Linked DNA regions of Tamandua tetradactyla. The protein of the gene in region 1 purifies or fractionates together with the protein of each later gene. This does not show direct contact. Links are inferred from orthologs where the notes say so. Each region holds a gene or a part of one and is shown in the gene's direction. Other genes may lie near its edges.

What was found.
Region 2: the proteins of RNPS1 (region 1) and AP2A1 purify together in Homo sapiens (co-immunoprecipitation; 3 studies listed by BioGRID and IntAct, with this or other methods). This does not show direct contact. The link is inferred for Tamandua tetradactyla from reciprocal best matches to the Homo sapiens genes RNPS1 and AP2A1.
Region 3: the proteins of RNPS1 (region 1) and CSNK2A2 purify together in Homo sapiens (co-immunoprecipitation; 3 studies listed by BioGRID and IntAct, with this or other methods). This does not show direct contact. The link is inferred for Tamandua tetradactyla from reciprocal best matches to the Homo sapiens genes RNPS1 and CSNK2A2.
Region 4: the proteins of RNPS1 (region 1) and NOS1AP purify together in Homo sapiens (co-immunoprecipitation; 3 studies listed by BioGRID and IntAct, with this or other methods). This does not show direct contact. The link is inferred for Tamandua tetradactyla from reciprocal best matches to the Homo sapiens genes RNPS1 and NOS1AP.

Annotation. Positions count from the first base shown.
Region 1 is NC_135349.1:55,260,729-55,268,692, forward strand, and holds the start of RNPS1 (RNA-binding protein with serine-rich domain 1), read left to right. Parts: upstream 1-4,946; 5' UTR 4,947-5,054; coding exon of another isoform or gene 5,055-5,056; intron 5,057-7,575; 5' UTR 7,576-7,692; coding exon 7,693-7,763; intron 7,764-7,964. UniProt on the Homo sapiens protein: Part of pre- and post-splicing multiprotein mRNP complexes. Auxiliary component of the splicing-dependent multiprotein exon junction complex (EJC) deposited at splice junction on mRNAs.
Region 2 is NC_135342.1:11,396,444-11,403,425, reverse strand, and holds the start of AP2A1 (AP-2 complex subunit alpha-1), read left to right. Parts: upstream 1-3,976; 5' UTR 3,977-4,115; coding exon 4,116-4,182; intron 4,183-6,982.
Region 3 is NC_135342.1:51,831,868-51,838,729, reverse strand, and holds the start of CSNK2A2 (casein kinase II subunit alpha'), read left to right. Parts: upstream 1-3,854; 5' UTR 3,855-3,870; coding exon 3,871-3,974; intron 3,975-4,734; coding exon 4,735-4,846; intron 4,847-6,862.
Region 4 is NC_135330.1:15,202,979-15,210,954, forward strand, and holds the start of NOS1AP (carboxyl-terminal PDZ ligand of neuronal nitric oxide synthase protein), read left to right. Parts: upstream 1-4,962; 5' UTR 4,963-5,048; coding exon 5,049-5,153; intron 5,154-7,976. UniProt on the Homo sapiens protein: Adapter protein involved in neuronal nitric-oxide (NO) synthesis regulation via its association with nNOS/NOS1. The complex formed with NOS1 and synapsins is necessary for specific NO and synapsin functions at a presynaptic level.

The DNA of each region.
Region 1 (7,964 bases):
AAAATTGCGACACTCCAGCTCAGCGTGCAGGTCCGTGGGGCCCGCGTCCACCCAGAGCTGCAGCTGCAGACGGGCAGCCTCCTATGGAGGGCAGCCTGGGCCCCCACACTCACCCACAAAGCAGACAGCCCCTAGGGGATGCCCCACAAGGCTCCAAGGTTCACACCCCAAGTGATGTCAAGGTGAAGCCGCTCACCTCCTACACACGTGGCCAGCGGGCACACGGGATATCCCCGCCCTCCAGACACAAGAATCGGCCCCTGAACCCTGGCTCAGGTCTGACCCTGAAGCTCGGTGAACCCCTGCAGCCCCTTTCCCTTGCGTGAGGGATGGCAAGGCACCCTAGGGCCCAGGGTCTCAGCCCCCACAGGCCCAGGGCAGCCCTCTTAGGACCCCGAGGAGAGGCAGCCAAGGAGCGGGGCAGTCGGGGAGTCCCCATCCATACCTGCCACTACCTCTGGCCGGCAGGAGTAGGAGGCTGGAGCTGTGGGGTTGGGCCCTGCCTTCCTTTCTCAGCAGACGGGGCTGCCCAGGCTCTGTTCCTGGGGCCCAGCCCACACCCCACAGATGCCTCCCTGGTCAGAGAAGCTCCATGTGGCCTGGCTGCAGGGGGCTCAGGGGAGGCCAGGCCAGCTATGGCCCCTGCTGCTCCCTGGCTCTGCAGTTCATCCCCTGCTGCAGCCCCCTCTCCCCTGGCAGCCCACCCCAGGGTGGGCAGCTCGGTGTCACTGGCCTCGACATTCTAATGACAAGAAAGGACACGTTGCTTTTTTTTTTTTAGGATTTTTTTTTTATTAATTAAAAAAAATAAAACATTTAGAAATCATTCCATTCTACATATATAATCAGTAATTCTTAATATCTTCACATAGTTGCATATTCATCATTTCTTAGTACATTTGCATCAATTTAGAAAAAGAAAAAGACAACGGAAAAAGAAAATGATAATAGAGAAAAAAAAAAAACTATACTTACCATACCCCTTACCCCTCGCTTTCATTTACCACTATTTCAAACTGAATTTATTTTAACATTTGTTCCCCCTATTATTTATTTTTATTCCATATGTTCTACTCTTCTGTTGATATAGTAGCTAAAAGGAGCATCAGACGTAAGGTTTTCACATTCACAGAGTCTCATTGTGAAAGCTATATCATTGTTCAGTCATCATCAAGAAACATGGCTACTGGAACACAGCACTACATTTTCAGGCAATTCCCTCCAGCTTCTCCACTACATCTTGAACAACAAGGTGATATCTACTTAATGCGTAAGAATAACCTCCAGGATAACCTCTCAACTCTGTTTGGAATCTCTCAGCCATTGACACTTTATCTCATTTTACTCTTCCCCCTTTTGGTCAAGAAGGTTCTCTCAGTCTCTTGATGTTAATTCTCAGCTCATTCTAGGGTTTTTCTCAGTCCTTTGATGCTGAGTCTCAGCTCATTCCAGGATCTTTGTCCCATGTTGCCAGGAAGGTCCACACCCCTGGGAGTTATGTCCCATGCAGAGAGGGGGAGGGTGGTGGGACTGCTCATATTGGCTGGAGAGAGAGGCCACATCTGAGCAACAAAAGAGGCTCTCTTGGGGGTGACTCTTAGGCCTAAATTTTAAGTAGACTTGACCTACCTTTTGTGGGGTTAAGTTTCATGTGAACAAACCCCAAGACTGGGGGCTCAGCCTATAGCTTTGGTTGTCCACACTGCCTGTGAGAATATCAAGAATTCAACTTAGGGAAGTTGAATTTCTCCCCACTCTCACCATTCCCCGAAGGGGGCTTGCAAATACTTTTCCAGTCACTGATCAAATCACTCTGGGATTCATCGGGGGATCACTCTGGACAAACCAACAAAATCTCAAGTGCTACCTGAGATTACTAGTACTTATGACATTCAAACTATCTACATGAGTTATATTAGGAAATGCTCTAGTCGAAATCTAAATTTTGTAACAAACATTTTTTGCTTTAGTCTTACACATAATGTGACATTTTGAAGTATTAGTTATCATCTATTTTCAGCACCCAGCAATAATGACAATCCTTTGTTCTTCCTCATGCAAAACATTTTTAAAATTTGTACATTGTACATTTCACTATTATTATACACTCTAGGCATTCCTAGATTATACCATCTTGATCTTTAACATCTATCTTTCTTTCTGATTTCATTTATGTCCCCAGCCCTCTTCCCCCTATCATTCTCACATGCAGCCTCATTCAGTGTTTTAACATAATTACATTAGTTAGGTAGTATTGTGCTGTCCATTTCTGAGTTTTTGTATCCAGTCCTGTTGCACAGTCCATATCCCTTCAGCTCCAATTACCCACTATCTTACCCTATTTCTATCTCCTGATGGTCTCTGATACCAATGACATATTCCAAGTTTATTCTCTAATGTCGGTTCACATCAGTGGGACCATACAGTATTTGTCCTTTAGTTTTTGGCTAGTCTTACTCAGCATAATGTTCTCTAGGTCCATCCATGTTGTTACATACTTCATAAGTTTATTCTGTCTTAGAGCTGCATAATATTCCATCGTATGTATATACGACAGTTTGTTTAGCCACTCGTCTGTTGATGGACATTTTGGCTGTTTCCATCTCCTTGCAATTGTAAATAATGCTGCTATAAACATTGGTGTGCAAATGTCCGTTTGGGACACGTGGCTTTGAGCCTGAAAACCTGCACAGCTTCCCAGCCCACAGCTCTGGCCCCCCAGCCCCTCTGAGGCCCGTCTCCCTCAACCCGCTGCCCCTCCTCCCCCCACCCCACCACGGACAGTGTCCTTCTGCAGCACCTCCTCCATCCACCCCGGTTCCCCCTCCTCTCAGCTGCACTCAGCATCCCCATCCCCTTTAAGCCGCCCCTCCCGCACACCGCCTAATTCCTCTCAGCCCGCACGGTGTCAGGCAAAGGACTCGAGGAAGTCAGGAAGTGTCTGCTGGAGGGGCCAGAACCCAGGCCCGCTACGACCAGGCTTGCCCCAACCCCATCCAGGCCCCTTCAGACAGCATTAAATTCTCCCCAAAGTCACACAGCTCCTTGCAGCCTCCGCTCCCACCCAAGCAAGCCCCTGTGCTGTACCCTGGGCTGGGCCATGCCTGTCTTTAGCACCCATAGCTGGCTTTAGTGATGGGCACAGGTGCTTCCCAGACATCGTTTTCAAGGGGATTCGGTGCCCGCCTCCACCACCAGAACTGCCACCCCAGCTCTCGCTGTGTCCCAGCTGCCAGCCTCCGAGGGTGGGCCCTGCAGAGGCCATCTGGACCAGGGAGGGTGAGGGCAGGAAGAACATTCCACCTTGCTGTAAGCATGCTCCCCACATCAGCACTCCCCAAGCCTCCCGGGAAGTCTAAAGCACCTAACTGTGCAGAGGGAGCACCGGTAGTGAGGAAATGGGGGAGGGCGCTCCCCAGTCCCCCGGGTGTCAGTGACCTCGGCGGCCTCTCCCAGGATGCTGCCCCAGGCCACGTGCAGAACTTCAGGGCCCGGCCAGCTGCTCAGTGCCCTGTCCACAGAAGCCTGCCCTACCCCCATCAAACCACCCCATGGGGGGTCCCCATGACCTGGCCTTGCCACCCTCAGCGCCCACAGCCTTGGCAGGATGGCACTGGGTCACAGGAGTGGGGAAAGGCAGGACTCCCGAGGGACGGGAGAAATGTACATCCATGTTTCTTATGAACACATTTCTACTGTGTCTCAAAATGGCAAGATCAGGATGCTCAATTTTTAAAGCTCAACAGCTGACTGTACATTTTATAACAAAAACCAGTAATATTTAGAAACAAATTTAATTAAATTCTGAAGTGTCTGAATAAATCATGTTAAGTTTAATATAAAATGTGTTAAATTTTTCAGGCATGCCAAATTAAATTACTTTAGCGCATTAACCAAAAGCAGGAGGGAGGAAGGGGGCTGGCTTTCCACCCCCCACCGCCCTCTCACCACGGTGGGGTCTCCTAGCTGCCCCTGAAGGGTCAGTGCTGCCCTGGACACATGATGGTTGGCTCGGGATTTGGGGAGCCCTTGCGGATTACGGGTTCCCACGTGCTGTCACTTCTGCCTGACTGGACCACCTAGTCCACCCCATCCCCCAACGCCCACCTCTGGCTCCCCCTCACGGCAGCGGGAAGGGCTGAAGGCACCACCCACTGGGGCACCCCTCGTTCCCACTTACCCCTTGATGCTTGGCCACGCCAGGGGACGTGATCACAAGGCACAGGATTTAACTCCTCCTAAATGTCGCCACATCGAATCTAAATCCAGGGGGGCGCCCCCACCCCCAACCCTGGAAAGTGTGGGCAGGACCCCTCCTTGCCGGCTGTGTTTTGCCCCCCAACTCCTCAGGCCAGAGGGACTGGGGAAGGGAGGGACCACACCTTTCCACCCACCCACCCATCCATCCATCCTGAACTCTTTCCTGTCCTTCACTTGAGGCCCTTCCTTCAAACCACCGGCAGGAATGTGCTCCCCTCCTCTTCCCCGCTGCACCACCGAGTTCCAACAGGTCACCCAGGCCGAGCACCTTCTCTCCTTCCACAAATAACTGCGAAGCGTCGACTACTTGCCGGCCACGGGGGTGACGAGGCGGGGAAGGAACCCGGCGAGGCCCGCGCCCTCCCAGCCCCCAGAGGCTCGGCAGCGGCCCGCACTGCGCGCCCGCGTTCCCACGCCTCGCCTCCCGCACCCACGCGGGACTCCGACCGCGCGAGCCCAGGCTACGCCCCAGCAAGCCCCCGAGCCCAGCGCGCGCGCACGAGAGGAGCGGGGCCGCGCGCCCGTGTTAACCCCCTGGCTGCCGGCCCATCGCCCGACCCACCCCAGCGCCGGGAGACGCCCCCAGGGAGGGAAACCAGGGCGGGTCCTTGACGCGGTGAACCAGAAACGCCCTTGGCCCTTTAGACTCTCCTCGCTCACGGCCATTGGCTGCCGCGGTTTACGTCATCGCTGTGCGACGACGGACGGCGCGCTCCCGCTCCCGAACCCTGACGACAGACAGGCGCCAGCCTCGGCGGCTGAGGAGAGCGGGAGGCGCTGTCGGCGGCGGGAAGATGTAAGTTCGGGGCGGAATCCGACCCCATCCGAGCTTGCAGGGCCGCCCGCTAGGCGCGGCGGGGCGCATCGTGGAGCCGGCCCCTCCACAGGCCCGAGGCGGGAACGGCGGCCCGGCGGCTTGGGTTCTTGGGAGAAAGTGCGGGCCGGGGCGGGCGGAGGGGGAGGCGCCGAGGCCGCGGCCCGGAAGTGGTCGGGCCCGGCGCGGACGGAAGGGCGCCCCTCGCCCGGTGCGCTCGGCGGCGGGCCCAGCTAGGCCCACGGGGCTCCGAGGGGCCGGCAGAGCGGTCTCCGCCCTCGCGTCCTCCCGCCGGGCCAAGACCCGGACCCGCAACGGCCTGGAAGCGCTCGCGGCCCAGAGCCTGGACGGGGGAGTTGTGAGTGAACGCGGACGGGAGGCGGCAAGGTCGGCGGGCGGGTTGCTTTGTGGGCGGCCCGGAAGACCGGCTGATACTCGGTTCCTGGTCAGCAACTCACACATTTGCCCGTCAATGTTACCGGGTCTCTGGTGCCCGTCTCGGTACCAGGCCTTGGGAATCCAGCCCGGTGTAGTCCGAGCACGGTGACCGAGGCGGGCACAGTCCCTGCTGTCGGAGGGGCTCCGTGTCACGGGTTCCCCCAGAGGGGAGGGTGCTGGAAGGTTAAGGTCGCTGGAGGAGACCTGGAAGATGCTTTCCTGCTTTAGTTTTTTCGCATGAATTGTGCCTAAAATGTACATTTAAGTGATAAAGGTGCTCTTAAGAGTCGAGCCCAAACGCCATCCGCTCGGGATGTAACTAATTGTTCTCTTCTTTCTCTGGCTGTTGGACGCCCACCATTCCGGAGGATGGGGGAGGTGACTGCGGTCCTGTCCTGTTACCCGCATTTGCGTGGACAACCTCACTCTTTGCTTTCTAGTACCCGGCAGTACCCAGCAAAGCGCTCATTTATTCTGCGATTCTTAGTTTTTACAGTGCTTAAAAATAACCGCTGGTGTTTGTTTTGCAAAGTGCATTCAGGGTTATGTCCTCGAGATCTTTAGGATTGGGGTGGGACCCAGGAATCTGAATGTGTAACCTGTAAGCGGGGTCTCTGCAGTAGCAACTAGCCACATGTAATTGTGGAGTACTTGAAGTATAACTGGTCCCAGTTCAGTTGAAAAATGTACACTAAGTTTCAAAGATTTGGTATGAAGAAAGAATGTGAAATGTTTTATTAATCTTATATTGACATCTTGGATATACTATATTCACTTTATTAAAAATTTCACCTGAGTTTTACTTTTTATAATGTGGCTACTGGAGAATTTTATGGTATGCTTGTGGCTCTTTATTCTCCTTCTGTGGACAGCATTGTTCTAGGTGATCCTCACCTGGGCAGGCCAAGGACACCTGTAGAGCATTCAGGAACCGTGTGTCACTTTGGAAACAAGTGTGCATGTGGGAAAAGAGCCTCCAAAAGTTGAGAAACAACCCTCTCATAAAACATCAGCTACCATTTATTGAGCCTTAACTGGGTGCCAGGTCTCTTTGGTGGATTAATTCCATGAATGTACTTGTTTCCAGATGAGAAAATAAGAATCAGAAAGGTTCAGTGACTTGTCCAAGGTTACATAGCAAAAGTCTTGAATTAAACCCAGGCCAACTGACCCCTATACTCTATACTCCTATCCACTGAATTCTACTCCCTGATTGCCCAAGGACACTCACCTTATCAGGTGCTTCCTGCTGGTATCTGTAGCACTTTATTTTAAGGTTTTACAGCCCTGGGAAGGAGCGTAAGGGTGATAGTCTGCTCTCTTCCACATAACCAGCATTAGAGTCTAGAAGTAATATTTCTGCTTTCTTTGCTTTATCGTGTTTCTAGCCATCTATTAATCTTATATTTCATTTCAAAGAAAATTGTACTTTCTCCCTACACTGAAGTACACATTACCTTAAAGTTCAGTATTTCCAGTAACTACTTTTTAAAGTATCATTTTCCTGCATTTTTAATGTTCATATGGGACATTTTATCTATTTGTGTTTGGGTATTAAGTGTTTTGATGCTAGTACTAGTCACTTTTGAAATATATTTTTGCTTGTAGTTATATGTCCAGTATATCCTAAAAAGAAATTACAGCAATAAAACAAGACACCCAGTTTTATAAGGAAAACCACACTTGAGTTAGGCTTTTCTCTGTGTTGCGTGTGAATGGGGTGCTGTATTTTTTTTAAGGGGCTTTAGAGGGCTCATCAAACTTATGGCCCAAGAAACTTATATACAGCCTGTAACATGACAATGACAGGTTTCACCTCCCTCCCACCCCCATTTGCTCAAGAAAAACAGAAGCTGAGGTGACGGTTCAACCTGTGCCTCCTGTAGGGTGAGAATCCTCTGTAAGGAAATGGTGACTGCCCACCCCAGGTTTCTGGCTGCGTGGACACTCTTTGCTTACTGTGTTCACGTGCCGATTTCTCATGTGCTCAGCTTTTTACTGCAAAGTAGATTTGTTGCCTTGCCAATCCGTTCACTCTTTAAATCCTTTTATCTTGTTATTAGGCTGCTCTTTGGCGTAAATTGCAATCGATTAGGGATCGTTTCTCAGAATCGAGTTAGAAGTGAGAGTTCAGATCAGTGAGGCCGCCATTGCTGCTCTGAACACTTCAGAAGGGGAGAATGGATTTATCAGGAGTGAAAAAGAAGAGCTTGCTAGGAGTCAAAGAAAATAATAAAAAGTCCAGCACTAGGTAATCCTTCTGTCAGATTTTTCTAGTGCTACTTCGGGGGTGCTACTGCTAGGAACTCTCAGAAAGGGGAAGGTTGGAAATGTTTTGCATTTGACAGTGAAAATGTCCTAAGCCACAGAGCATTTTGCTCTGAGGTTCCCTGAGTTCTCTGGCCCTTGTGGCTCCGTCCTGTGGGTTGTGGTGTTGTTCAGGGTTCTGGTC
Region 2 (6,982 bases), on another chromosome or scaffold:
GTGCATTTTACCTGCTGAAAAAGAATCTAAACGTGATTGTATAACGATAAAGCTTTCGCAATGCGACTGTGTGATTGTGAAAACCTTGTGTCTGATGCTCCGTTTACCTACCTTATGGACAGATGAGTAAAACATATGGATTAAAAATAATTAAATAATAGGTGAACAAATGTTAAAATACGTTTAGTAGATTAAAATGCTAGTGGTCGATGAGAGGGAAGGGTAAGGGGCATGGTATGTATGAATTTTTTTGTTTTCTTTTTATTTCTTTTTCTGAATTGATGCAAATGTTCTAAGAAATGATCATGATAATGAATATGCAACTATGTGATGATACTGTGAGTTACTGATTATATAACAAGAATGGAATGATCATATGGTAAGAATGTTTGTGTTTGTATGCGGTTATGTTTCATAAATAAACTTTAAAAATGCAAAAAAAAAAACCACCCCCAAAAACAAAAAAGAATCTAAGTGAATATCAAGTTCCAGCCAAAAGCAGGCTGAAGCATCTGGGGTCAGGTACAGATGGACAGAGGGAAGGGTACACATACAAACAGGTGATAAAGCAAGTAAAGAAATATGTTAACGGTGGAATCAACGTGGGGGTAGAGGGTGTTGGCTCAATGGCGATTTTGACTTTTCTGAGTATTTAGAAATGTTCATCACGCAGTGATGGAGCAGAAACTGGCAATTGGGATGAAGTAATAGTGCGATCAAACGATCAAAAAACATGATGCTAAGCGAAATAAGCCAAATGCATGATTCTGCTTCCATGAACTCACCAGAATCAGCAAATGCATAGAGAGGGGAAGTAGGATGAGGTTATGGGGGTGGTGGTGCTGGAGGGAGGGAAGGGGAAGTGATTACTTAACGGGTACAGAGTTTCTGTTCAGGGTGATGAAAAATTCTTGGTAAAGGATGATGGTGATGGTGGCACAATACTGCGAACGTAATTAATATTGCTGAATCGTATGCATGAAAGTGGTTAAAATGGGAAATTTGGGGTTGTATGTATGTCACCACAATAAAAATTTTTAAAAATCCAAGCTGCAGAAGGACCGGGCAGAGAGGGCTTTAAGAAAGCAATCCAAGATCCAGGCAACAGAGGGTGGTGGCCTGGAAGGGGCTGAGGCAGGCCATGGGGTGGCTGCAGGCATCATGATGTGTCCTGATTTGGTTTGGGTGGAGGGGTGGGGAAGGATTCCAGAACAAATGTCTGGAGTTATGGCAGGTGCCCAAACGCGAAGACCGGGGGTAAGTTTGGTTCTTCTGGAGGAAATCAGAATCCGATGTGCATCATGAGTGGCCTTGCTCGGGTGGAAGTCTTAGAACTTCTACTAGTGGCTCAACCCATGTGCTCCTTGGCGTGCCCAAGGTTCCCTCTTACCGTCCCATCTTAAAGCCTATCATGGCTTGACCACACCTCCCTAGATCTCCTCCAAAGGTGGACTTGTTCATGACCTGGTCTTCCAGGTGACTTACCAGCAGATCAGCCCCAGCTTTCCAGAATGGTCTGGCCCCAGCCTGCCTGACCCTACTGAGAGCCTCTGACTGCTGAGCACAGGCCACGTGGCTTGTCCAAGCTGAGCCGGGCTGTATGTTTACTGGATTCCAAAGATTTACAAAAATAAGAACATAAAACAGGCTAAAATGATAACAGTTGGATACTGGATTAACTAAAATATACTATGGAAGTTAGGATCACCTGTTTCTGTTTATTTATTTATTTTAACGTGGCTAGAAATTGAAAACTAGATTGGAAATTACACCCAGGGTTCTCACTGTAAATCTCTTTTTTTTTTCACATGGTCAGGTACCAGGAATCAAACCCCGGGTCCTCGGGCATGGCAGGTAAGCACTCTCACCTGCTGAGCCACCGTGGCCCGCCCCTCACTGTAATTCTATGTGGACAGTGCTATTCTAACTCAAAGGGGGTCAGCCATGTCCATCCCTTCTCAGGCTCAAGACGCCCAGGGCCCAGGAAGGCAGCCCCTGGCTCCTCAACCTGCCCCAGTCTCAGGTCCTCATCAGACCTTAGATCGCTTCTACTTTAAGCCCAGTCTTGAAAATTAAGTTTCAGCCAATTAATGAGCTCCCTGAGGGAGGAGAGGCCAGGCTGAGTCCCCCATATACCCAGGAGGGGGCTAGGACATCCTTCACTCCACACCAAGAACCCAGAGTTAAATCTGTTTGTCCTTAGGTGGGCTCTGTGGGGGACATGGCGGTGGTGGCGGTGTTTTTGTGTGTGTGTGTGCGTAACGACCCCTCACGTCTCTTCCTCATAACCCCCAAACAGGACTAGTTTGAATTCCACTACTACTACTATATACTTTTAAAGGCGATTTCTTCAGGGACAAAGTGGTCCTCTCCAAGTCACCCACGAACAAGTCCTTGGAACGCTTAATGTTTTCCTCCATTAAAAAAAGGACTTGTTCAACTCCTGGTCCTAATAATACAATTTTTAAAATAGGATTGCCCCTACGTTCCCTAGGAGAAGCCAGTCTCCCCTTCGCGGTGTTAGGAATGGACTCGCCGGCCCAGACAGCCCCCCCTAGGATGCAGAATGTATTTTCCTAAACCCTATTCTTGGAAATCCAAATGGACGGATCCACTGAACCTGAGAGGTGGGCTCTTACCCATTCCCCCAGGATTCGGAGTGGACATTCCCAGGATCAGGACACTCCCCTAAGGCTCATTCCCGGGATACTTGGCTTCTGAGATTAGAAAAGGGTGGTGGGGTGGGGTTTTGTTCCTCGAGGTGACAGAAATGGACTCTCCCACTTCCCTTTGCCCCAAATTTCTCAATAGCCAAGGGCGCTGCAGTTCTGGAAGCTTTGTTTTCCCCAAAGCCAATCAACCAAACAGGGTCTCCGGAGCGCCGAGGGGCCGGGCCAAAGCCGATTGACCCATTCCTTACTTCAAAAAGCATTTTTTTTTCCTTTTTAGCTTTGCAGTACAAGGTTCCATTCTTGCCCAGGCGGAGCTGCGCATCTGGTGAAGATAATCACAATTTTTATTTGATATCTGCTCTAATGGAGGTTACCTGAGGCGTTGTTGTTGAAGAAAAACAAAACAAAACAAAACAAAAAACAATGAAAAGTGGCTATAGGCCAAAATATAGTTTAAATCTCAGTTTTGCCGCTGCCGAGCTGTGTGACCTTTGACAAGTCACTCAACGTCTCTGGACTTCAGGTTTAACTTCTGTTTCATGGGACTAGACGTGGATACAGTTCTTCTCCAGTGAGATCCCAGGTTTTCTGACAAGCCAAGTCCTGACATCTTAGAATCTAGAGAAAGGTGGCGGGAAGGAAGAGAGAATGCTCCTACAAATGAATTTAAGGAATTGGGGGGGGGAAAAAGGGAAACTAGGAGACGCTTGCGCAGTAAACACCTCCTAGACTCTCGCCCCGCCCAACCCCTTCTCTGCAGCAGGGAATTGCAGACGTCGCTCTACCTATCCCAGACCAGCTGAGTGACTCTTCCCCGTCTCCTTCCTTCTCCACCAATCATCGCCCTCCACCCGCCCCCACACCCGCCCACTCGAGGGCGGAAATAGGCCAGACCCCGCAAATCCGCGATGCCTGTGGGGGTGATCTGCCCCTCCACTGGCCTCTGTGCACTCAAGTCCCGCCTCCTCAGGCCCGCTTCCCCGCCTTCCTTCACGTCTTTTCATCCCCTCTCGGAGAGAGGCCAGGTCCAATCAGTATCCGACCCGGCAGCGCGGAGGGGGCGGTCCCACGGTACGTAACCGAACCCAGCCCGTCTCTTGGGCACCGCTCCCTCCCCCGTGCCCGAACGGAAATAGCGGGGTACTGGACCAATCGCAGCGCTGTACTTTTACCTAAGGGCCAATTAGAAAGCAGTAGGGGATGAGCCCTAGCCTTAGCGGCAGTAGCCACAGCCAACCCGCGGCTGACAGTTCCGGGCGGTGGAGTCGAGGGGAGGGGCCCGGGGGCGGAGCCGCGGCCTGTCCGCCCGCCCGCGCGCCCTCCCCTTAGTCCCGGCCCGGCTCCTCGGCGCTGCCTGAGATTCTCTACGCCTGGTCGCCGCCCGCCAGTCCCCGCTGCGCTGTGCCCTGCCCGGCCAGGCCTGGAGCCGACACCCCCGCCATCATGCCGGCCGTGTCCAAGGGCGATGGGATGCGGGGGCTCGCGGTGTTCATCTCCGACATCCGAAACTGTGAGCCCGCGGCCGGAGGACACTGGGGCGGGGGAGCGTGGATTTGGGGGCTTCGGAGGCCGTGGAAGGGCCCCGGGGGTGGAAGGCCAGCGAGGTCACAGCCAGAGAGGCGCCGGGGGAAGTTTAGGGTGGCGGGGATGGAGGGGCTGCGGGTGTCATCGAGTGCCTCTTGAGGTGACGACACGGGGAGGACCCGGGAGGGTCTCAGAGAAGGGGAGGCCCATGAGGTCCAGGGGAGGGGGGGCCAGGCGGCGTCCCTCGGGAACGGTGGAAAGGCTGACCGTGGGTGGGTGGAGTGTGGGTTGCATTGTGGGCGATGGGGGGTCCTGCTGTAGACCGGACTGAAGGAGGTACATGGGGGGTTCCTTGTGGCGCCGTGGAGCGGCAGGAGGCTAGAGCGGACCGAGGACGTGAAACACAGCAAGATTAGTGGGGCAGGGCTTGAGCGCCTGGAAAAGGGGGTGTCATGGATGAGAAGGGCTGGATAGGTCACAGGTTCCTTGCTAGGGGTATAGAAGGGGCTTGGGAGTGATAGGAAGTCCCAGGGGGCTTGGGGAGGGGAGATGGGGGACTGTAGTTGGACCCTGGTGAGAGATAGGGGTTTCCAGGATGGGGGGTGGCTGAAGAGATGGGGGGCAGTGGGGAGGGGGCTAGAGGGCTGGTTGTGGAGGGAGTCATGAGAGAACCTGACACGTGGGGTCAGGAAAAGAGAGGAGTTTATTTCAAGAGTAGGATGAGGCTGGAGGAATGTTCCATCGGGTAGGGTGGGGGGTTGCCCAAAGCTCTAGGAAGGAGGGCCTGAGGGGTTTGTGGGGAGAGATCTGGAAAGCTAGGAGTGGGATTGGGGGTGGTGGTGATGGTCCCCGAGAGACATCAGGGGTCAGGCAGCAGGACAGCCCTGACTCCAAGCGTTTCCTCATCTGACCACAGCAGTTTAGGGTCAGTGATCCCTGCCGGAAAAAGTTGTGTGGACGGGAGGCCTGTCACCAAGTCAGCTCCCAGCTCCCGGGGCTGGCGTTGGTGTTCAGAGCTGCCAGGAGCTCAGGCTGTGTCTGAGTGGGCTCTGGGGTTAGCCAGTCCTGGCTTTGAATTTGTGTGCCAAGTGACCTTGAATGAGGGCCTTCACCTCTCGGGTGCCTTGTCTGTCAGATGGGCTGCCCAGCACCCCTTCCTGATGGGGTGGTCTTGGTCTTGTGTGTGGTGGGTGTGAGGCGTTTCACATGTGCCAGGCACCAGATGGACACCGGCTATTTTGTCATTCTGCCGGATCTGCGGAGGCTCCTGTTAAGTGCCCAGTGGTTATTTTAGAATTCAGTAGGTATGAATGGAGCTGGGATGTAGAAGGTGCTCAGTGGGCAGGAAGGATGGGAGCTATTGGGTGCCAGTTGATGGAGGTGAAGTTAGGGTTATTTTGAAAAGGGGAGGGAATTATGAGGGGTGGTTAGTCAGGCTAGGGGGGGTGGGGGGCAGCTGTTAGGACTGAGTGTGTGCTCTCTCCCGTGCCTCCCAGGTGGGTGTCCCTGGGCAAGGGTGTCCCCTGGATAAGTCGTTTGGCCTGTTTGAGGCTCCATTTTCTTGTCTGTAGACAGCACTGATAACAGCCCCTTGGCACTTAAGGCTCATTCATTCCTTCACTTGACAAATGTTGTTTGATCACTGTGGGGTCCCAGGCACCATCCTAGTCACCAGGGGCTGCAACAGAGAACAGGAGCCCCTGCTCTTGGCAGTTTCCATTCCATGAGGGAGATGGAAATAAACACACAAGGAGAACAATCAATGGCACAACATCAAGTGACGGTCGTGAAGGAAAATAAGGCAGAAAAGGGATGGAGAATGACCGGCATGGAGAGAGTGGTCAGTTTGAAGTCCTCGCTGAGGAGGTGACAATCCAGTGGAGACTTGGTGTGATGTGAGGGAGCAAGTCCTGCAGATTTTAGAGGAAAGAGGGGCCCGGGCAGGGGACTCAGTGTGTTCAAGGGCCCTGAGGTTGGAGCTCACTTGATGAGTTTGTTCAGATAAGGGTGCGGAGGCCTTATATGGAGCTGGAGCAGAGGCTGGGAAGAGGACAGGAGGCGATGACAGAGGGCAGTGGGGCGGGCCTTGTAGGGTTTTGTGGGCCACAGCCGGCTCTTCGGCTTTTCTCTGGAGTGAGACAAGAGCCACGGGAAGGTTTTGATCAGAGCAGTGTGATCTGATTTGGGTTTAAAAATAATTCCTCTGGCGGCTGTGAAGAGAGCAGACTGAAGAGGTAGGAGCAGGAGTGGGGAAGCAGATGAGGCTGCTGCAGGCATCCAGACGGGGACTGCAAGGGACAGTGGTTGGATTTGGGGCACGTTTTTTTTTTTCTTTACATGGGCAGGCACCAGGAATCGAACCCAGGTCCTCTGGCATTGCAGGCAAGTATTCTTGCTTGCTGAGCCACCGTGGCCCGCCCTTGGGGCACATTTTGAAGAAAAGCTGATAGGGTATGCAAAGGGCTGGAATGATAAAAAGTAGGGAAGGAAAGGGGAAACAGGTAGATGTCACTGCAAGACCCCAGAGGGAGCCAGAGGAGAGAAGGGGAGCCTCAGACCTGGGGGCAGCCGAGGGAATTCAGCCAGAGGAATTCAGACTGGAAAGCCGGGGGTCCTCTTGCCCTTCCTTTCTCTAGCAGCTCCACTGCTGTGCTTCCGGCTGGAGTGGGGTGCTGTGGACACAGCAGTGAATAAGTTGGGTTCCCCTGCATCTGTGGAGCGAACAGCCCCAGGGCAGGTGTATAAATTTACTGCGTAAAATTGTAGCTGCTTTCACCAAATTTTGT
Region 3 (6,862 bases), on another chromosome or scaffold:
TGTGTAGGCAAATCCTCAGGCTTCCTGGCAGGTGTGGGAGCAGGTTACGTGAGATGGGTGTGGGTTAGGTGGTAAAAGATGAGAAGGTTCAGGGAACGTGGGAGGGGTCACAGGTGGGTGAGGGTGGAGGCAAGAAATGGGGTTCCTGCCAGTGTTGGACATAGTAGTTAGACCAGTGATTTGGAACCACTTTATAATCATGGCCTCCTTTGAGAAGCTGATGGATGCTGAAGAAAAAATGTGCGCACACACACCGTCACCCACACACACTGACCCACAAATTTTGCATGCAGCATCAGGGGTCCTTGGTGCTCATCCAAAGGATCCAGATTAAGAACTTCTGGTACAGGCTAATTCACAAAGACTTGTCAGAAAGAAATCCTATGGCTACATGAACAGCTTGAAAATGCTCGTGTCTTCTCACGGAAAAAAGATTCAGGGAAGTGTCCATGTTTGGGAATTAAATGCCAAAGTCCACTTATTTCATACACGCTCTTATTTATTTATTTGCATGGGCAGGCACCGGGAATCGAACCTGGGTCTCTGGCATGGCAGGCTAGAACACTGCCTGCTGAGCCACCTTGGCCTGCCCTCTTATTTATTTTGAAAAATTTCAAATCTACCAAAAAGTTGTAAGCTCGTGTGCTCTCTGTCTATACTTGCCAATTGTTAACAATTCTCCCCCAATTATTCCTTACCCCCATGTGTGCTCTTGCTCTCTGGAACCCACGCTTTTTTGTGGAGAACCATTTGAGAATAAGTTGCAGATATTATACTTTATCCCTGAACACTTGGTATGTGTCTCTGTTTGCCAAGGCAGCTATGACAAATACCACAAATTGGTTGGCTTAAACAACAGGGATGTATTGTCTCACAATTGTGGAGGTTGTAAGTCAAAAACCAAGGTATTGCTAGACCATGCTTTCTCCTTGTGTCAGTGGTATTCCAATGCTGGCTTGAAGGCAAGCCTTGGTGTTCCTTGGTTTGTAGATGCATGTTTGCCCATATCACCTGGCAATCCCTTTCTCTCTCCTCCTCTGGCTTCTCCTGACTTCTGAATTTCCTCTGTTTATAAGAATTCCAGTCATGGGGTGCAAGGGTAGTTCAGTGGTAGAATTCTTGCCTGCCATGAGGGAGACCAGGTTCGATTCCCAGCCTGTGCACTTCCCCCATTTCCCCCCAAAAATAAATTCAACAAATAGTGCTGCAATAATTGGATAGCCACATGGAAAAAGATGAATTGTAACCCCACCATACAGCATACAGAAAAAAAAAAAGAACTTCAGTCATATGGATCAAAGGGTACCCTAACTCAATTTGACCTCATCTCAATTGGATCTTTGCAGAGACTATTCGCAAATGAGTCTACAACCAGTAACTGGGGTTAGAACTTGACACGTCTTTATGGGGGGTCATTACTGAATTTCCAACAGCATGTAATACCCAAGATCAAGGGATTCTCCTGCATAACCAAAATACAATGATCGCATTCACAAAATTTAACATTGATACAATATTATCTAATATACATCCTTTATTCTAATTTCTCCAATAATCCCATTACTGTCCTTTTAACTATATTCTTCTTTCCGTCCCTTCCTTCTTTCCCATTTTATTCTGTATTTAAACCAAAGTCATATACTTAACTTAGTTATGTCTCTCAGTCTTTTTTAATTGAGAAGTTCACTCCAGGGGTTTTGTTTCTTCTCGTGACATTGATATTATTGAAAAATCTAGGCCAATTGTCTAGCAGAATGCTCCCTCAGTTTGGATATGTTTGATTGTGCCCTTTGATTAGATTCAGATTAAGCATTTTGGGGCAGGAGTACTGCGTTGGGGATATCGTGTCCCATCTTGGTGCATCACATCAAGAGTTCAGTTGGTCCCATTTTTGATGCTAAATTAGATCCACAGTTAAGGTCATGACCTCCAGGTTCCCCTTTGTAATTAATAAGTAATCTACGGGGTAACATTGTATACACTGAAAGCCTCGAATTGTGGAAGATGCTGGATGCTGCTTTTACAGTGGAGGAGACAGACAGTTAGGAAGCAAATAATCACAGACCATGCAGACTTCTGGAAGGATGTGGATAGGGTGCTGAGACAGAGAATTGTCAACTCAAGAGAAAATGACCTTTAAACTGAGATTTGAAGAGCAAGAGTCAGCCATGGGAAGGAAGTAGTGAAAGGTGGGGGTAGCTCCTGGCCATGTTTAGAAGGTGGAAAGAACTGAAAGATAAGCCTGTTGTGGTCTCAGGGAAAAGTGATAGGAGAAAGGCTCTGGAACTGGAAATAATAATATTGGGTAATTACCTTTACTGAGTACTCAGTACCTCCCAGACATTGGTTTAAGTGTTTTACATGAATTAACCTTTTCAATTCTCCCTGTAAAGTAAGTGCTATTACTGATTTTTTGCTGTAAACTCTGCAGCACAGAGAGGTTAAGCAACCAAGCCAAGGCCACACAGCTTATAAGCAGTAGAGCAGGAATTCAAACCTGCTTGTATCTGACTCGATATTCTGTCCTCTTAATAATAACAAGGAGTAGGAAGCAGGGTCTCATCTGGAAAACAGAATGTGTAAAGGGATTAAAGTCAGAAAAGTCTGGGATGAATGAGGACGTTCCATTGATACAGGATATAGGATGGGAAAGGAAAACAGAAGAAAGGCCCAGAAGATCAGAGAGAGAAGTGTTTAGAGATAGGAGGCAACAGAATAAAAAACACCCCACCCTCAGTCCACCCCACGCCCTGGACTGAGCCTTCAGGCAGAACCCCCACACAATTCTACTGCTCTCCGTCCTCACACACATAAAAAGGGCATTTGCAGAGTTCAAGCTCCCCACAAATTATCTATTAATGGGGAAAACAGACAACCTGACAGGGACCAACATAACCAAGTGACCAAGGGAACATTCAGAAGTTGTTCAGGGAAGTGCTCTTTCAGGTAAGGGAATCTGGGGGGAAAGTGTAAGAGAAGGGTCTTGAAAGGAGGCTCTGGGTGAGGAGGTCTTAGGGTTGAGACCTCTATGGGTGACCAGACAAGGTCTGGAGGAAAAAAGGGGGGCCTCTGGGAGGAGCAGAGGGATCTTGAGGCGGAGGAGGCTCTAAGTAGTTGAGGAGAGTCATCAGCAGGGCACTCGATGGGGGTAGTTTGGGTCAGCAGGGGAGGTCTTGAGGACGGAGGACTCTGGGTGGCTAGAGGGTGGAGAGCTTTGGGTAGGAACCTCCAAGACAGTTTTTAAAGGGTCGGGACTGGAGAGGAAAGGTTAGAGAGACAGTCTGTGAGTGGGGGAAGCCTCGTGAGGACCGCGTCAGGGCAGACTGAGGAGGGGGAGATTTGGGCAGGGGGCGGGGCGGGGGCGGGGCTGGCGCCGCCCGGCGGGTCCCCCCGCGCTGCAGGGGGCGCTGTGAGTCCGAGCGGCCCCGGGCCGGGCGGTGGCCGCTCCTATTGAGCGCGGCCCCTTTTCCGGGTTTCCTCCTCCTCCTCCTCCTCCTCCTCCTCCTTCTTCGCCGCCGCCGCCACCGCTGTCCCTTTCCCGGCCGGCGGCTGCCGCGGCTGCCGCCCCTGCCGCCGCCCCTGCTGCCGCCGAGTCGGGGCCGCGAGCCGAGCTGAGGCCGCCGCGGAGCGCGAGCGCCGCCCGTCCCTCCGCCTCGCCGGCAGCTCCGGGGCTGGGCCGGGCCGGCCGGAGCCCCCCGCGCCCCCCAACCCGCCCGCCCCCGCGGGCCCGGCCTGGCGCGGCCGCCCGCCGCCGCACTCCTCCTCCTCCTCCTCCGGCGCCCGGCGGCCGGCCGCCCGCTCCGCCCTCCACCCGGCGCCCCCCGCCGCGCCACCCTCTGCGCCCTGCGGCGCCCCCCGGTCCCGCCCGCCATGCCCGGCCCGGCCGCGGGCAGCAGGGCCCGGGTCTACGCCGAGGTGAACAGCCTGAGGAGCCGCGAGTACTGGGACTATGAGTCGCACGTCCCGAGCTGGGGGTAAAGCCGCCGCCCCCCACCCGACCCTCACACCCTCCTCGGGCCCCGCCCGGCCGCCCCCCAGTGTGAACCACACTCGGCTCCGGGCGATCTGTCTCCCCGCCTGCTCCTCTTCTGGGCCGGCGCTTTCTCGTGTCTGGGGTGGGAGACTGAACCCCCCCTCCCCCTCCGCACGTGTCCTTGGCCTCCTCTTCCCACTTGGCGCACCCCTCTCTTTCTTCATCTCCCTTTCTTCCTGGGAAGACGTAAAGGATCTGAGGGCCAGATCTTCATAGAAGTGAGGGGGCAGCCCATCCTCCTCACACTTTTGGCTTTCTGTTGGGGTGGGAAGTAAACAGCTGTCTTCTTGAGCTATTAAAATTCTTTGCCTTTTAGTTTGTCTGAGACTGGGTGGGAGGAAATTTTTTGAAGACGTCCAGATTAGCAAAGCAGGCACTGTCTGCGTTCAGGGTGTGAAGTATGAGGCAGGTGCTTTGAAGCCACCGGTGGAGGAGTACCCTGTGGCGCTCCAGTATGGATGCTTTGCGCTCCCTCTACATCATCTCCCTTAAGTTATGAGGGAACAATTAGGTTAGGAGCTCTGCAGAGTGAAGGGAGCCAAGTTTTTGTTGTAGCCTTCATTTAGGGAATGAGTTGTGATGTGATGTATAGACACTTCCAAGTGTTTGATTAATGGAAGCATCTGCATGGAGTGTATAGTGAGCCTGAACTTGGTTGATCCACTATCTTAGCATTTATGTGTCTGTCTTTCCTTTCACAGTAATCAGGATGATTACCAACTGGTTCGAAAACTTGGTCGGGGAAAGTATAGTGAAGTGTTTGAGGCTATTAACATCACCAACAACGAGAGAGTGGTTGTAAAAATCCTCAAGGTGAGTGTCCTATGAGTGGCATTTAAACTTTTTTTTCCACAGGCCAAATGGGAATCTATGTGAGCTACAGTCCTAACTCTCATTTTATTTACTGCCTTCTGTCTGATGTCCCTCCACTACTCCTTCCTCCTAATTTCCAAGAAAACATGGAGACCTGCCTCAAATCAGAAGCATGTTAGGTCAGGAAAGTAAGTCCTTGTTCCCAAATTTAAATTATGGGCTCTCAAAGCAAAAAAATCCCATACTCTATGTATTACAACATAACTGATATTTCAGAGGAAAGAAATATCTCTTTGTGAAGATTCTAACAATCCAGAGGTTGCTTGACTATTGTTTTTGTTACTCTTGGTGCATTAAGTTATTCCGGAAGGAAAGTTAGAAGATAAATTTATCCTTCAAAGATGAATTTGTAGCCCAAGTGGAGGAAAATGTCTCAGTGGATAACCACTTGTCCCTTCTTTGGTGATAAAGTTTCAGCTGAAGTGGAAATAACAGCTAGTAGTTTTGGAAAGGTTCATTGTTGCTTGTCAACTAGTAAAAGTGAGCAGAAGAGTATGCTTCCAATCTCCAAAGTAATAATTGGAACAAGACACTGTTGATATCGGGGTTTAGTGGCTAAGTTTCATAATATGCCTGTTTTGTTATCACTTGCATGAAGACATGATCTTAATGACCATGAAGAATTGACTGAATTTTCCTTCAGGCAAATGATGTTTTAGAGGTTGTACTAAAGAGTAACTCAATCTGTGATGGGGCCTCATTTTGGCCGGGTCATTTAAAGTGTGTGCATATCATTTAAAGAAACATTCAGAAGACTAAGGAAGTACTTTACATAAATGCAGTGTGGCCATTTTGCAGAGATTTTGTGGAACAAAAATGGGGTTAAAAAGCTGTTTTTGTTTCCATTCAGAAAACTGAGGAAGTACTTTACATATAGGCAATGTGGCCATTTTGCAGAGATTTGTGTGGAACAGAAATGTGGAGTTAAAAAGCTGTTTTTGTTTCTTAAGGGTAGCATTAGGGCAGCTGTGTAGGTAGTCCTTTTTAATGTGTGGGGTACTTATGCTGTCTGGAAATTGCCTTTCATAAAAATGATTGACACAGTCTTTTAGGACCTCCTACCTAGCGTTGAAGGAGCAAAGTTGCTCCTACCTAGAGCAGATAGCTAGTTATTTGTGCTGCCAGACATATTGGGAACAAGAAGTGAGGAATTGATGTTAAAGTTATTGACTCCGCTTTTCCCCAAATTTGAGTTGTATCTTTAAAATCACATGGTCCTTTTTTTTTAACAAACACTAATGTTTAAATGAATGTCTCTTCAGACGACAGATCACCTGGGGAAGCCATACAATTTATTTCTTTATGTACATACGCACAAATGTTTTTTATTTAAGCTGCTTCACATCTTTCTAGGAAAGTAGTTAAGACACAAGTTGAAATTAGTAATAGCCACATTCCACTACTATACATTCTGAAAAATGAACTGCTGACTCTAAAGCAATTCCAGAAAAACGTCTAAACTTTTGTGCAGTGGTAACATTTTAGAATAAGTGCAATCTCTTTGCTTTGCACTTTTGAGAGGAAACAGCAGTCAGGTGTATGTATAAATATCAGTATGTTCATTTAGGAAATTATCACATTACTCTTTAGTCATTCTAAAGGACTTTATAGGGTCAGTTGCTTGATAGTTTTCCTTTGCTCCAAAAATTCTTGGGATGTGTTTAGGGTCCTCAATATGGAAACTCTAGGGTTTTTTTAAACAAATGGTAAACCTAAGCACAAAGAAACTTATCTCATAATTTTGCTAAAATAATGAACCCTTATTATTCAGTAATGAACCTTTATTGCAATGCCTGTTTCCTATTTCTTCCGGTGTCTTACTTTGGTGTATTGTCTTGTGGGGTCTTAATGTTGAACAGTGTTCTGGAATAAGACTTAGAAGTCTCCTTTGATACTTTAGTTAGAGTGTTGTTTCTTATTTCTTTTTGTAGCTTTGTGTGTGTGTGTGTGTGACAT
Region 4 (7,976 bases), on another chromosome or scaffold:
AAATTAAACCAAACAAAGAACCAGAAAAGTAATCCCGAATTGTCAGCCAGTGAGAAGGTCCAAAGCTAAAGTGGAATAGAAGCAAGAATTAAAAGCATTTGGAAACGAGAAATGTGGGGGTACTTTGGGACCCATGAAAGTGAGATAGAGTTGTTTGCGGCTTTATCTGTTTTCATCAGTATTCATTTTTGGGTACAAGAGACCAGCACAACTCTTAAAATATGAAAATCCAATGATCAGCTTTTAAAAGATGGAAAATCCAATGATCAGCTTTTACCCCAAACATTTTTCAATTGTTGCTTAAATAGAAGGGTCGGGGAATATAAGTTTGTTTGTTTGTTTTTGGTGGGGGGAGCTGCACTTTCTAATTTTACACCCTGGGTCACATCCCAGTTTATAAATTTCCTGCGACGTTACAAACATCTCAGCCTGGTGTTGAAGTTCTCCTTTTGCCATCTCAGGACTAATCTTATCACTTGCTCCCCAGTAGGAACTCTCCATCCGGTGAGCTCATCTCTTCACTGTCCCCTGAAGACACTTTATAGATGAATGTCTCTATAGACCCTGTTTTTCTGCCTGGCCTCCTCCTGCTGTGTTATTTATTCAAATCCTTTCCTTTTTAAAAGGCCACCTCAAACCTCACCCCCTTGAAGACTTTCCTGACCAATCAGCCCCAGGGATTTTGGGCCTTTCCTTCCCTCCCTGCCTCTCACCCCTACGTTTGGATCACACTCTGTCATCTCATAACCACTGCAGTTTTTAAGTATATGCCTCGCCAAGGATGTATACCTCTCTTACGTCCCCTGCTACCCTGAGAAATGATCATAGCAGGGACACTTACTTAATGTTTTCTACTGCCTTTGGCCAGAAAGCTTATTGACCAAAGGCTGTTGAATGAAGAAATGTTTCACACCTCAAATACTAAGCAGTGCCAAGAAATACAACTATAAACTTTAAGATTATCAAGAATAATCTGAATGAGAAAAGCAGAAAATGGTTATACCATGCAGGAGAGATTAGATGGATCTAATAAAAAATATGAAGGCTGGCATTACAATATGTGATACCTTCAGAATAACCTTTCCTATGGGACAAACATTCCAAATTGTTGTTTTATTTCTTATGCAGTAAAAGATCACAATAAACCAAACCAGACAAGTAGTGGTAGAGATTGCTATAAAACTGTTGATATTCTCACAGTTAATACCAGTTTCCATTTTGGAAATCATGTTAATAATTTCTTCTACTATTATGAAACCTTACTGTTTATAGGGCTTTCCATCTCATGATATGCTCAAACAACTCCATGAAGAAATTAAGATGCATTTCCTATTTCTTTACCAATGAGGAAACATAAACAATGAAGTTGAGAGAGACGCCCAAGGTCACAATGTTGGAGTCTTCAGACTTTAACTCAATTCTCATTACAATAATTAGCCCATCTCCAGACACAAAGTCTATCCAATTGTAGTATAATCTTTTCTCTTACACTAGCATCATTTTTAAAGAAAATTCTCCAATCTTTAGCATTCTTTTTATGTCATCAATAAAACCAGAGGCAAGCTGTATTTCTTGGCACTGCTTAATATTTGAGGTGTGAAACATTTATTCATTCAACAGCCTCTGGTCAATAAGCCATAAAAAATGAATGACGTTCTGATACATACTACAACATGGATGAACCCTGATATGTTGAACGAAATAAGCCAGAAACAAAAGGACAAATACTGTATGATCTCATTTACATGAAATAACTAGAATATGCAAATTCATAGAGACAGAAAGACTGGCTGGCTGGGGTGGGGCTGGGAAAAGGAGAGTTAATGCTTAATGGATACAGAATTGATGGAAAATTTTGGTAATGGCTGGTGATGGCAGCATAAGATTGTCAACAAATCACCTTCAAATTCTATAGTGAGAAGTGGTTAAAATGGGAAATGTTATATTGAATATATGTTACCACAATAAAGAATTTTAAAAAATAGGCAGAAAAATAAGAAATAATTTTACATTACAGTTACTTATCTACAGAGAGCCATTGAGAATGACAGGACTGGAAGACTCAAATCTTTTCATTTTACTGAGAGAGATCTTTCCTGGTTTATTGGTGCCACATTTACTGTGAATTTTCACATCTATTCTAAGTCATAACTCAAAACTTCTGATTGACTCATTTTCTAATAAATGCCTCCTTAACATTATGGAGACATTTAGTTGTTGGGAACTTTAAAGCTCTCAATATAAAATTCAAGCTGAAAGAAAATTAAAATACCCAAATTAGAAGTTGGAAGACCTGAGTTTTAATTCTTTTCTTTTTCTCAGAGAAATCACTTAATATTTTTATTGCCACCTATAAAAAGGGGTAATGAATCCCAACTCTTTACACCTTAGGGATACACAGAAAAATGGAAAAAGAATTTGAGCATTTTGGAGCTAAGTGTTATCTGATGGTAGGAAGTCATTATCTGTGATTAATGTTTAATATATTATTATTTGTATGAAGATTTGTGGTTTTTTTCCCCTGTCTATGTATCTCAAAAAGTTGACATCCTCTTCTCTGTTGGCTATACTCAAGGAAGGTTTCCTAGGTCTTACTGCTTTATGACCTACACAAATTATTTCCCTCTCTGAGCCTCAGTTTCCTCACTTGTAAAATGGTATCCGACTCATGGTTGTGGGAGAGATTAAGTGGGACTATGCACATGCAGTGGTTAGCATGGCAAAGCTGATATTTCTCACCAAAAGCAAATTAATTTTCTCAATTTCAAATATGTGCTCAAAAAAATTTGCTGTTAATCCATTTATATCCCATCATTGTGTAATGGAAAGATTACTGCGTCGGGAGTATGGGAGAGATCCTTCCTGGATTATTGGTGCCACATTTACTGCAAATTTTCACATCTGTTCTAAGTCATAACCCAAACTTCTGATTGACTCATGGCCATAGTGATAGCAAGTTACTTAAATCTCTTTGTCTTTAAATGAGGGGGTGAGATTAGATATCTCTGATATAACTTCCAGCTCTGAAGTTCTGTGGTTTAGTGTTTTTAAAAAATATATAATTTATATTAAAATCGAGTTTCAATAAAATTAACATAGGAGGTATCTCATGATTTAGCAATTTGTATTTTTATTAAATCTATTTCAGATGAAAATTTTATTATGAAACGTTTAAAACGTTTAAACGTTTAAAATATGGAAAGGTATGGGAAGTGATACATGCACTGTCAATCATTTTAAGATAAAAAGCATTTGTTTTTATAGATTTGGAAATATTGTGGGTGAAGTGTATTACATTTAAAGGTACAAAAATAAGATCGAAACCTCAGCTAAAAAATGGAAATTCCTTTGGATGCCTATTGTTGCTGGAAGAAAGGTATCTTAATACCGTGTGGCATGGGTATGATAATAGGTAGAGGCCAAAATAGAGAACAAGCCTCTCTTTTTAGGAACATTTCATCTAATTGAAATGGGATGAATATAATTTAGCAACATAAAACATGGACCCTGAATTTGAGGTGCATCTCATTTGTAATTAGAAGTCTTCCATGGAGATCCAGGCATGGTGGAAACACCTCTCCACATAGAATTGATTTGGGTTCAAATACTAACTACTTTCCTTTCTATGAAATGCATTTGGGATGCCAGCTTTTTTTTTTTCTTCTTATGTTTGGTCTACAAACAATGTGTTATAGAGTTAGACACGAAATTCTGGTAAATATCAGCAGTCCAGTGGGACCCAAGTTAATATAGAAAAGTCCCTTTGGAATCAGAGAACATTTTACATTCTAGATAGAATATGAGATACAAATGAAGTAGTTACTTAAGGTACTGCCTTTAAATTGTTGAGTGTAACTGTGCCAGGTTTTAGAGAGTGCATTTATGATGCATATTAAAACCACTGTGACATTCAAAGAGTCAAACATGTCTGATTAGACTTTCATATCCTGTATTTATAAAAAGCTAAGTGATGCAGCTCCTCAGTACAAATTATTTAACCTATGATAAATTGTAGAGGAGGATGTATTATTGTCGTTAGTTCTCCTTTCTGCTTATCCCATTTTCATAAGACTGACGGCTTTAAAGTATTATCACCATCACAAAAAGCATTACCTCCCCCCTCCGCCACTACACACTATCACTGAAAGGAACAAAAAGTGCCTGCCCTATTCCTCTACTTGTATTCAATCTTGATTAACCAAGGGAGGGGACTCTCAGAATTAATGAAGTTCAGATTTGGGACATTTGGGGCGGGGCTTGGGCCATCTCGGTAAAACAGAACGTAAACACCTTCTCCCCCCAAAACAAAACAAAACCAAACAAAAATCAAAGGCGATGCTGTTGCTTCTATCAGCAGCTCCGGCTCAGACGCTGCACCGAGCTTGCGGTCGTAAGCTCCCAGCTTTCTGGGGCCGGGGCGGAGTTCCCCGGGTCGGGCCCAGCCCTGCGCTCCCAGGACTTTCACCTGCTCGGCGGGCGGCGCCGGCGGCGCGGGGGGCGGACCCGGCAGCGGGCGGGGCCTCTGCACCCGCGGGAGGAGCCGGCCCGGGCCCGCCCCGCAGGAGGAGTTGCTCGCTGGCGGCTGATCCGGCGTCTCCGTGACAGGCGCCCAGCTCGGCCGCCGCCGCCGCCACCTTTTCTTCCCGGATCGGGCTGCCCGCACCATCGCTCCGGGGTCGGCTCCGCGCCTCGTCCCGCCTCGGGCTGCGGCCTCGCGTCCGCCGCTCCCCTCCCCCGGCCGGGGCGCCGCGCCGCCCGCTCCGGTCGCCGCCTCCGCCGCCTCTCTCCTCGCCGGCCGGAATTGCGCGGCCACAGTGCGGCTCGCGTCGCCCGCATCCGCGCCTCCCGCCCGCGCTTGGCCCTCGGCGCCGCCCGGGGTCCCAGCTTCAGCGGCCACCTCGCCGCCGGGACGCCCCTCGCCCCGCGTCCTAGCCCGAGCCCGTTGCGCGCGCTGCGCGCCCGGCTCCCGCTTCCCTTCCCCGGGGTCTCCCCAGCCTCTTCCTGCAGCCGCCGCTGCCTCTGGAGGAGCGGGTCCACCTCGGGTCACCATGCCCAGCAAAACCAAGTACAACCTTGTGGACGATGGACACGACCTGCGGATCCCCCTGCACAACGAGGACGCCTTCCAGCACGGCATCTGCTTTGAGGCCAAGGTGAGGGGGGCACGGGCAGGGTATTGCCCGCGAGGGGCTTGTCTGAGTGGATCTGATGCACAGCCATCCTGGAGACAGCTAGAGGACTGAGCTGGTTAGGGGGCTTTTCTGTTAGGGTGGGTGACACCCCTCCTCAGCATAATTCCACGGACTCCTGCCTAGAACTGCTAAGGAGCAACTAAAGTTTGAGCGGTAGTGCTTCGCCCTCTTCCTCCTACCTGCAGACTCCCCCTTTCTTACCCGCCAAAGGATTGGATTGAATTACTTCCCGATCCTTCGGGCGGGTGAGCACAACCTGTACTCTGGTCCTTGAGGATAGGGAAACTCTGCTGTTATTTACCTGCTGGGCTCCCGTGGGAGAGGTGCTTTCAGGAATGGAGCCCGCTTCCTGATTGAGGAAAAGCCTTTTTTCCTCTTCCAAGTTCAGGGGTGCTTCTCTAGAGTCTAGGTAGGGTCCAGATGTCAGTCACTTCCTAAATGCTTGATTTATCAGGACTCCTTTGCAAGTGTGGGGGAAGTGCTGCCCATTTGTTGGTTTTGTGGCTTGATGTTTAAGTTTCAGCTGCTAACAGAGAACTACTGTTGAAGAATTTAGGAAGGATAACTGGAATTTTCAGTGCTCAGGCCAAAGCCCCAGGTTCATCTTTGGGGCGGGATAGGGGTATGGGGCTCTGAACTGGCCCATCAGGTGAATATGTGATGTCCCTCCTGGCAGAATTCCAGGTGGGCTTCCTGTGGGAGAGGGCTCCTCCCTGGCAGTGTTTCTGCTCTTCCTTCATGCCTCTTGAAACCCCATTACATAAACATCAGGAACTCAGCAACTCCTGTGTGCCTGCCACTGATAATCTTTAAAAACTGCTCCTTTTAAAATATTGGGTCTTGCTGGTTTTAAAACTTTGTAGTTTTGGCGTGCAGTCAGTTTTACCCTTCCCTTTTTCTCTTTCACCACTATGTAGATGCAGGGTGTTAGTATCTCATGCAGAGATTATTCCATCAGGTGTCTCTCTATTTCCTTCAATTCAAGAAACATTTTTCCAGTGCCTGATATGTACCTGAAGGTGTCAGTTATTGTAAAAGTTTTTTTCTTCTCAAAGACGTGCATGGATTGGTGAATCTTACTTTTTTCCCTCCGAATAACCTCTCCCCAACCGTATTGACTAGAGCGTAAAGACCCCTCCCCCCCAGACATTAGACACGGCCATGGAATTCAGAGCTCAATTACTGGATATAGTTGGCATCAGAATGGGGCTGCAGCTGAGATGTTATCTTGCTTCTCTGGATAGATCTGGTCAGCCTAAGATGGGATGTTTGGGTTGATTTTTGTCCAGTCCTGTTGATTTGGTGAGCTTATTTTTAAATTTTAAGGTAGGAGTTTTCATCAGGGTCATGATTTAGCTTTCTTGGAGATATTTATATATGTACTGGGAAATCGGCTCTTGCCTTGTTTGGTTCACCAGTGCTCTGTTTTGCAAGAATGAGAATAAGAAGGGAGATCCAATTTAAAGTGTTTTTAAGCTTTCTTATTTATTCACAAGTTCTCTGCAAGGTCCCAGCTGAGGGTACAGAAGTGTGTTAGGAGAGGATATTGAAAATTCACATTCCTTCTATCGCCCAATTCTAATTTGGTGGGATCTGGGGGCAGCTGAGTAGTGTGTGCCTTTAACAAGCATCCCAGGTGATTCAGTGGAGGTGATTGGGACCAGACTTTGATAAATACTGGGCTTGGGGCTGGCCTCCACCTTGCTCAATCTTACCCTTCCTTTCCTAGCACCAGGTGTGCAGTTTCTTCTCTAAGCGAATGCCTGGGAGTTGCACGCTATAATTCCTACAGTGACTTCCCAGGATTCACAGGCAGTGGTGTTTGATAAGAGGAGAGGGACCACATTTGCTCCAAGCTCTGTTCCCAGTGCAGATCTAAGACCAAGGATTCTGGTCTGAGAATGATGAGGTAGAGAAGAAACGGCAGAAGGGAGGTGGCAAGGCTTCCTTGGGGAAAGTCTGTCCTTGAGGACCTGAGTCTTAACTTCTAGCTCTTGGTAATCCGTGTTGGACATCAGTATATCCGAACACCGTGTCATCCGCGTGGCGGATGAATAGAGGTGGAAGCAAATGCTTTTCTGTTCTCTGCACACCATCTGACAAGCACCTTCTCTGACTGGTTTCCACATCCCAGCAGAGTACGCCAATGGGCTGTGCAATCACTGGGACTTTAGGGTTAAATCCATATCACACTCTTTCCCTTGTTTTGGAAAAGCGCAGGCTGTAAAATGCAAATATATTAAATCGCCTCCTTGTCGAATGCCCTTGGAAAGTGAGCCCAGATCTTTCTCTTCCGAGAACTAGCAGTTTTTCATAATCAACACTGGGTGAATGGAGTGACCCGTTGAATGTATGCCACACATTTTCAGGTTTCTGCTAAGATTGAAAGGTTAGGATCAGGACTGAACGGCCTCTGGGTTCTATACATGTAAACACACAAACACCTGTGCGTAATCATCAAGCAGACTCCTAGATGAATTTCACCTGTGGTACCTCATTTACTATCTCCGAGGCGGGTCTCCTTGTGTTTGTTTTATAAATGAGGATATGGGTTTATGGAGATTATTGCCTGCCTTAGTGCACACAGCTGTCTATGGCAATGCCAGGTTTCAAGTCCCAGGAACTTTGACTTCAGACTCCTAAAATGCAGTGCTTATTCATTTAATAAATGTGTGTGGAGCACTGCCACCGTGCTGGGTAGTGGTTTGATTCACAGCTCACGGTGGGGCACCCTCAGGTTGCTGGCTCCTAGGACTCTGATGTAGCTACTTATTCAAGCCTGTA